Rattus norvegicus: one gene and its partner. The protein of the gene in region 1 binds, or shares a complex with, the protein of each later gene. Links are inferred from orthologs where the notes say so. Each region holds a gene or a part of one and is shown on either strand. Other genes may lie near its edges.

Region 1 (3,812 bases):
CAATGAAATTGTATAATTCACTTTAACTCATGTATCTGAAATGGCTATGCATTTTGTGTGTGTACACATACATACAGACACAAGAATTCTACAAAGGAAGTCTGTTTATCCTGCATATACCCAGTTCAAAAATAAATCTTATGCAACATATAGCAAACATAACATGTGGCTTTTTCCTGGTGCTTACTTTCTTAAGAGTCCTAACTAAACTCATAGTGACCAGGCACGCATGTGGTAAATAACTAAGGTGCATGGTCAAGATAAGTCTCCTTCCATTCCAGAGCCAGGGAAAACTAATGTGACGAAACACACCAAGCATAGCATCTCCTGGAAAAAGTAGTTTTATTAATAGACCCAATATCAAAGCATAAGCTTCTGATATCGTAGGCAAACCCCTAAACTTAAAATAATAAGCAGCTGAGAATGTTGGTACACACCTTTAATCCCAACAAAGGATAAAGAGGCAAGTGGATCTCTGTGAATCCAAAGCCAGTCAGGGCTACATAGTAAATAAGACCCTGTTCCAAATACCAGCCCCCAAAACAATCAGGCTATTTATGGATTAAAAACATAGAATTAAAACTTCTTCACAAAACCTACCAGTAAGCAGGAACTTTATTAACATAAACCAAGTCACTGTATTTCATACTGTTATCACACACTTCAAATCGCTAGTGCCAATGCAGTGTGCTCAGCAGTTCACCCTCACAAACGCGTCATCGTCCCTTGAGGACGTAAACACGATACTGTGAAGCACAGCGACGCTGTTATAGCATCACACTCATTTAGTGCTCCTGGTGTTTTGAATGTTTTACAAAAGGTTAAAAGTGTTGAGTTATTGGAAGAAAGGAAAACACATAAACTCTAAAATAAACCTCTTATAAATAAGTCTTCACCAAGTATCAAGATAATAGTAAATAAACAAAAGAAATATTAAAACATAATTTGATATAGGATATCACTGCTAACACGCATGTTTAAAATCTGAACACCCTCGAAATTCATAAGAACAGTTCGAGTTTTTTTCAAGGTTGTAAACATTTAAAATATTTATGAACCAAAATTTGGCAAACACTAAAGATAAAAGTCAATTATCAATCTGATATAGCAAAACTTAAGAAAAAAAATATTTGTTGTTAAAATTAACTCTTGAAAATATTATCACTATCATTATGTGCATACCCATTAAATCCAGTGACAATTTTCAGTATTCTTTCCTTCATTTCATCAAAGGGAATATATTCAACATTAGGATTGGGAGGACCTCTTGGTTCAGGAGCTGAAGTTCTAAAATCATCCATCACTTTCTCCAGTTTGAAAATGAAATAGCCTTTAAATTGGGACCACTGAATCCTATAAAAAAAAGTCACAAAATATTAATAATTACTTAACACTAAACACACAAATCAGACATTATAAATGCGTTCATAATTTTCATACTATAATGCTTATATGGACTAGGAAAGTCTCTTACCACTACAAGTACAGAATATGCCAGGTTTAGTGGTATACACCTATAATCCCAGCACTTGGGAGACTAAGGCAGGGGGATCTCTAAGAGTTTATGGGCAGTTTTGTCTACAATGTAAGTGCCACACAGTGAGATCTTGACTCAAAAATATAGACAAATAACTACATTAAGCCAAAATAACTTTAATTTCACCCCCACTCCTTACACTTTCAGTCAATTGTCATTTGAGGTACTCAGGGTGCTGGTCCTAGCCTGTCTGACAAAGTAAGTAAAGCACACAACTGCCTAAGCTAGGAAGAAGAGCTCAAGCATGAGGACAAGAGGTTGGATTCCCAGAACCAGGTACCAGGTACCAGGTAGGTACCAGTGCTTAGGTGAAGACGGGATCCCTGAAGCCAGCTCACTAGCCTGACAAGCTATGAGCAAGCTCTGGGTTTAACAAGAGACACTGACTCTACTGAACAAATATGGTAGAGAAATCAATTCCAACGCCATCTTTAGATACACATGCACACAAGCACACAAATATTGCATGGGGAAAATATGCATTTTCCATCTCTATTCATTGTTACGTGGCAATTTCCTCTAAGATAAAATGCTCCATCTTTGAAGGAAGCTGTTCAGACTCAGGAAATTAAGGAATGCCCGTAAGACCCAGTCAGTAAACAACTCAGCTGTTTCATAAGGACCTGGGATCCTGACACTGACCAACTCCCTGCAACCTGCTTTCCCAAGCTTATATAATCTGTAAGAACTGTTACTTTTAGTACGTATGGGTATTTTGTCTGAATGTTTGCCTGTAAACTTTCTGGGTGCCTGGTGCCCAAAGAGGCCAGAAGAGGGTGTCAGATTTCCTGAAACTGAAGTTTTGCTGACAGTTGTGAGTTGCCATATGGGTGTCAGGAATCAAAACTCAGGTCCTCTGGAAGAGCAACAAGAATTCTTAACCACTAAGCCATCTCTCTAGCACTGTCTCACTCCAAGGCCACAGTGCCTGGAAGACACTCCCTCTGACATGCTTGGCTAACTACAAGCAGCACAGTACATTCCTCATTTCCAGTTCCCCCGTAACCAGCTACCCATCCCAGAGTGAGCTTTTGGTGAAAAAGCATTTCTGTTCTTGTAAGAAACCCTTCATCCACACTTCTGTAAGGACCATCAGTGCATTTGAATACTTGGTCTTTAGGGAGTGATTCCACTTGACAGGATTTAGGAAGTGTGGCCTTGAGGGAGTAGGTGCAGCCTTGCTGGCAGAAGTATGTCACTGGGGATGGGCTTTGGAGTTTCAAAAGCTCCAGCCAGGCCCAGTGACTGTCTCTTCCTTGCTGCCTGTAGATGGTGACATATAGCTTTCAGTTCCTTCTCTAGCACTCTGCCTGCCTGCGTGCCATCATGCTAATAATGGATAAATTTCTAAACCAGTGTTCTCAACTTCTGAGTCCAGACCCCTTGGGGACTAAACATCCTTTCACAAGGGTCCAGTCAGCTAAGACCATCAGAAAACAGATGTTTACAACTCATAACAGTAGCAAAATTACAGCTATGAAGCAGGAAGAAAACAATTTTATTGTTGGGGAATCAGTTTTACATGAGGAACTGTATTGAAGGGTCACAGCACTAGAAAAGTTAAGAACTACTACCTAAAGTGTAAGTGTAAGCAAGCCCTAAATACTTTCCTTTATAGGAATTGTCATGGTCTTGGTGTCTTTCACAGCAATAGAACATTGACTAAAACAACCAGTAAATGTAAACGGAGCCAGTGCTCACCAAGCTGGACTTTGGTGGCGGTATCCTTTACTTAGGTCTGACACTGGTTCCTAATCAAGCATGAGTCAAGGTTCGTTCATATCCCCTAGGAATAGAACCAGACCTTTTTATCCTCCCCTTACGCTTCACCATTAGTGTAAGAAAAAAAGTAAAGACGATACCTGAGCAAACAGTCTAAGTTCTAGGAGACACAAAAGTTAGGGGTAGCTCCTATTTTCTTGTGCAGACAGAAATTTCATGTAAGTTCACTGTTTAATATAATTATAAAAAACAGCAATAATTCGCAATGGCATACATAAAAATGCTAGACATACAACTCTCTAGCAGTACTGTAAACTACGAAAGTAGCATAGATCATTCATCCATACTTCTATAAGTAAGTGATTCAAGAGAGTAAGGCTTGAATCAGGAGTCAGACATCTTTACTGTGCTGACAATGTACTAATAATGACCCTAAAAGCAATGATGGATGAACTGATGACAACGTAACAGCAATCCAGAAGCACATCAAACTGCACTAACAGCACTTAGGTTTGTTTTGTTCTTTTAAATCTGGGGCTGGAGATGTGGTAGA
Region 2 (4,499 bases), on another chromosome or scaffold:
TGAGTGATTTTCTGCATAGAATTGACTAAACTACTAGGAGTATCATAGCTAGTCTCCACTCTCGGAATATTTCCATGTATTGCCAATAAAGCTAAGCACAGGCTGGAGACAGCTCAGTGGCTGAGCACTATATAAGGCTCTGGTTCCCTCCCAGCACTGCAAGGAAAAATTAAGTCCCTAGTTAGCCTTGCTGTCTAGAATTCTGTAGGCCACATTGGCCTTGAACTCTCGAGATCCGCCTTCCTCTGCTTCCCAAGTACTGGAATGAACATGTTCTAATTACTCCTTAGCTTCTATGAGACAATCTTTTCAAAAATTTATTTTATGTACATTATTATTTTAACTATGAATATGTGAGGGTGTTGTATCCCCTGACCAGTAGTTAAAATTGTGAGCTGCCATGTGGGTGCTGGGAATTGAACCTGGGTGGTTGGCTAGAAGAGCAACCAGTGTTAACCACTGAGCCATCTCTCCCACCCCTTAAAAGACGATCTTAAAGCACATAAAACTGTTCAAAATTAAGAGGGACAATAGAATATTGAGGAATATGGTGAGCAGAAGAGATTAATAACCTACTCTGCCTACAGCAAAAGGCAAAGAGAAGGAAGAGGAGTACATGTACTGTGAATTTGGAGAGTGTCAGGGTCTTATATTTTGAGTTTCAGCAACAGTAAATGAAACGTGAAAGCCAGGCTTGAAAAACCACTTTTCCTGGATTCATGTTTGAACCTTGGTTGACGTGAGCAAGCTAGTCTTTGAACCCATCCATTGCCACCTTCAAGGAATATGTTCAGGCAATAGGAAGTAATGCTGGGTGTGGTTGCTTAACATCTGGGCTGAGATTCGCTGTGAAATCTGGGCTATTCTGAGCTACAGTGAAACCCTGCCAAGAAAAAAATGTCAACTATTTTGGAATTAAGGGAGTCAAACAAGCTTGGTGTCCAGAGAGTGGGCACTTTCCCCCAATTAAATTTAAACCTCTGTGTTTTCTCTCATCACCATATGGGTCCTGGGGATCCAAATCAGGTCAGTCGGGCTTGGTGGCAAGTTCTTTTATCAGACATATAATCTTGTTGTTTTTTTGGTTTTTTTTTTTTTTCTGTTTGCTCATTTGCTCTGTAGCTTTGACAGCCTAGAATCCACGATCCAGCCTTAGCCTCCTAAATTCTGGGATTACATATAGGTGTGCTACCATGTCTGGCTCAGGTTCGGAGTTCCTCCATGGCAAGGTTTCTCTGGGACTGTGGCAAGAAATGTGGACTAGAATAGGCCCATTCATTGAACAACTATTTACGCCTATCTGCAATGCTTGGCCTTACTCTAAACACCGGAGAAGCAATGATGAACAAGGCAGTTTTATCCGTTAGATCTGTAATAGAAGCAAGATAGAAAGCAGCCAAGGGAAAACTGTAACGTGAGGCGAGAAGCCTACCGGAGCTCACATGACCTGGTGTATATAACTGAAGTACAGCTATACTAGCCTCCAGCTCACTTTGCCCGCCCACTTCCGGCTCCCTCGTTTCTCCTTCCCGATGCCTCGAAAGAGGCGTGACTTGTATATGTCACTTCCGGCGCGCGCGAGAACAGGTTTCCCTTTGCTTCCGCAGCGAGGCCGGAAGTAGAAGCGGCGGTGGCGGAGGCCCAAAGCGGAGGGAAGTGGGGAGTCTGAGAGACTCAGCTGGAGTCTCAGCGGCGGTAATTGTCCGAGGCCCCTCTAGGCCACCGTCCTTAGCGCGGGCCCGCGGGGTTCGACGGGAGTTGGCGGGGTGCGGCCAGGGCAGCGGGACGCGGAGGGTCCTGGACCGCCGTGAGGGGAGGGGGGGGCGGTCCCAGAATCGAGTCCCCCCTCCCGCACGGACCCTCTGATTGGCGGGCTCGCCTTCGCTTTTCCCAGGAGACCCCTGTGCGGTCCGGAGGGGGCGCCAGCCCCGACTCTGACCCGCGCCGGGGGGTGGGCCATGGCGGAAATCAGCGACCTGGACCGGCAGATCGAGCAGCTGCGGCGCTGCGAACTTATCAAAGAGAGCGAAGTCAAGGCCCTGTGCGCTAAGGCCAGGTAAGCCCGCAGGAGGGAGGCCAACCCGTGGCTCAGGGGTTTCGTCTGGGCGAACTCAGCTGAGAACTTAGGGTTTGTCATATCCCGGAAGCGTTCCCGGAGAGATGTCCCAAGAGCCACTTCCCACCAGGAACCATGGGGTCGGCTATATGTGTGTTTCTAGTGGAGTAAGAGCGAGTGGCAGGAAGTTCTAGGAAACTCAGGGAAAACGGCTTGCTCTGCTGGGGCGAAAGAGAAAGTTTCTTGGAGGGGCTGAGTTTTGGGACATGTCTTGAAGAATGAGGAGCTCGTTCAAGGCAAGAAAACAAAACGTGATTTGCGAAAGTCTCTCAATCTCATCAATCCTTAAAAGAGAAAGTAGTTTCGTGTCCAGTTTAACAAACAAGGACTACAATTGTTCAAAAGTACCAGCAAGGAAGGAGTGGAATCTGAAGCCAGTTCTCTGACTACAGATCCTTTTAGTTATTCTGGAAGATGAAGTCGAGCCAATTTTGTGTTCAGTTAAGATCCCAAGGAAAACAATTAATAAGCTAGAATAGCACATAATGAGTCTTAGACTAGCTTGGTTTACTGAGTTGAGGCCTTTTAAAAAAAGTAAGATTAAAAAAAAATACAGATCACAGCCTCAACACAGTAGTAATCCTAAGCACTTGGGAGGCAAAGAGAGAATGAGGGGTTTAGGGTTATCCTCAGCTAGGTCAGGGCCACCACATGAGACTCTGGCTCAGAAAGTGAAGCCAAGAAACAGTGATGAGGATATGGAGAGAGGCAGTGTTTTCTGGGAAGTAGAGGAAGTTGTAAATCAGCATCCCAGTTTGGGGGTGCAATGACTGTGGCTTTGAATCTGAGCGCTGGCACTCTAGGTGGTGACTTGGAAATGTCTAGGACTCAACAAAGTGGAACAAGTTGTGTTCAGTAAAATGGTTGTGACCATTCAGTGAATCTGAGCTGGAAGTGAACTCAGCACGGTGTTTGGGTACTCTAAGTTATGAGATGGTGTTTTTATGCTGGAAAGGACAATAACGGTGTATTCAAAGATTGAAGCTTGGGAGGGGGGCGTTTTTTGTTTTTGTTTTTTCTGAGACAGGGTTTCTCTTTGTAACCTTGCCTTGTCCTAGAACTCACTTTGTAGACCAGGCTGGCCTTGAACTCAAGAGACCCACTTGCCTCTGCCTCCCAAGTGTTGGGATTAAAGACATGTGCTACCACCACCGGGTGACCCAGGTGCTTCTTAGGGTAGACCTTGAAAGATATATTCTTTTTTTTTTCTTTAAAGATGTATTTATTTATTATATTTATATGAATAACACTGTAGCTGTCTTCAGACACACCAGAAGAGGGCATTGAATCCCATTAGAGATGGTTGTGAGCCACCATGTGGTTGCTGGGATTTGAACTCAGGACCTCTGGAAGAGCAGTCAGTGCCCTTAACCACTGAGCCATCTCTCCAGCCCGAAAGATATATTCTTGACCAGCTGACAGAACACAGTGAGGAGTAGTCGAGCAGGGTAGGAGTAAATGTGTAGGCAATAGTTGAGGCTTGTTCCGGCTCCTCTGGAAACTGTTTCAGTGTGGCTTCCACCCTCTTAGTAGACAGTAGCCTGGTCCTCACTCTTGCCCACTAGTCCTGTGAGGCTGGGAGAGTTATGTGTGTATGCCTGTCTGTCTGTCTGTCTGCCCATGTAGCCCCAGCTGGCTTTGAACTCAGAGATCCATCTGTCTCTGTTTCTCAAATGATTCTTTCTTTTTACAGAGTAGGAAGCCATGACTTCTAGATACCAGTGTCTTGATGCAGGCTACCCATTGAGGCTGTGACAGCTGGTGTCCTAGTTTACTTTCTCTTGCTGAGCTGCATCTCTAGCCCTGTTTGGTTTGAGGTCTTTGTTTTGGAGACGGGATCTTACTGTCTCTTAGGCTGATCTGGAGCATGGAATCTTTTGTCTCTGCCACCATGCCATTGTGCCTGACTGGTTGAGGTTGTGTTTATTTTCTTAGACAGGATGCTCACATCTTAGGCTGGCCTTGAACTTGCTATATAGCCAAGCATAACCTTGATCTTTCTGACTTACATACCAAGTACTGGCATTCCTGGTGTGTGTGTTCCTGGTATTGATTTGAGGCTGTATTGCTCCTCTGGAAATTGGATTCTCGGGTTCAGCAAGTTTCCAGCTTGATCTTGACGCTATTCTTGAAGGAGGTCTTTGGGGGAAATCATCATAGGGGTAGGGTTAGAAAAGACAGTGCTGGTGTTGGGGATTTAGCTCAGCGGTAAAGCCCTTGCCTAGGGAGCGCAAGGCCCTGGGTTCGGTCCCCAGCTCCGAAAAAAAAAAAAAAGAAAAGAAAAGACAGTGCTGAGTTCAGTCAGAGAAGACATTGTTTGAAGAACCCACAAAGTAGCAAAAAGAAAAGCTGTACCAGAGCCCATTCCTTATGTTGTAGATGC

What was found.
Region 2: Ppp4r2 (region 1) and Ppp4c share a complex: the UniProt entries of both Homo sapiens proteins name them as parts of the PP4 complex. The link is inferred for Rattus norvegicus from reciprocal best matches to the Homo sapiens genes PPP4R2 and PPP4C.

Annotation. Positions count from the first base shown.
Region 1 is NC_086022.1:135,031,165-135,034,976, reverse strand, and holds part of Ppp4r2 (serine/threonine-protein phosphatase 4 regulatory subunit 2), read right to left. Parts: intron 1,354-3,812; coding exon 1,183-1,353; intron 1-1,182. UniProt on the Homo sapiens protein: Regulatory subunit of serine/threonine-protein phosphatase 4 (PP4). May regulate the activity of PPP4C at centrosomal microtubule organizing centers.
Region 2 is NC_086019.1:190,827,292-190,831,790, reverse strand, and holds the start of Ppp4c (serine/threonine-protein phosphatase 4 catalytic subunit), read left to right. Parts: upstream 1-1,543; 5' UTR 1,544-1,695; intron 1,696-1,729; exon of another isoform or gene 1,730-1,894; 5' UTR 1,895-1,958; coding exon 1,959-2,056; intron 2,057-4,499. UniProt on the Homo sapiens protein: Protein phosphatase that is involved in many processes such as microtubule organization at centrosomes, maturation of spliceosomal snRNPs, apoptosis, DNA repair, tumor necrosis factor (TNF)-alpha signaling, activation of c-Jun N-terminal kinase MAPK8, regulation of histone acetylation, DNA damage checkpoint signaling, NF-kappa-B activation and cell migration.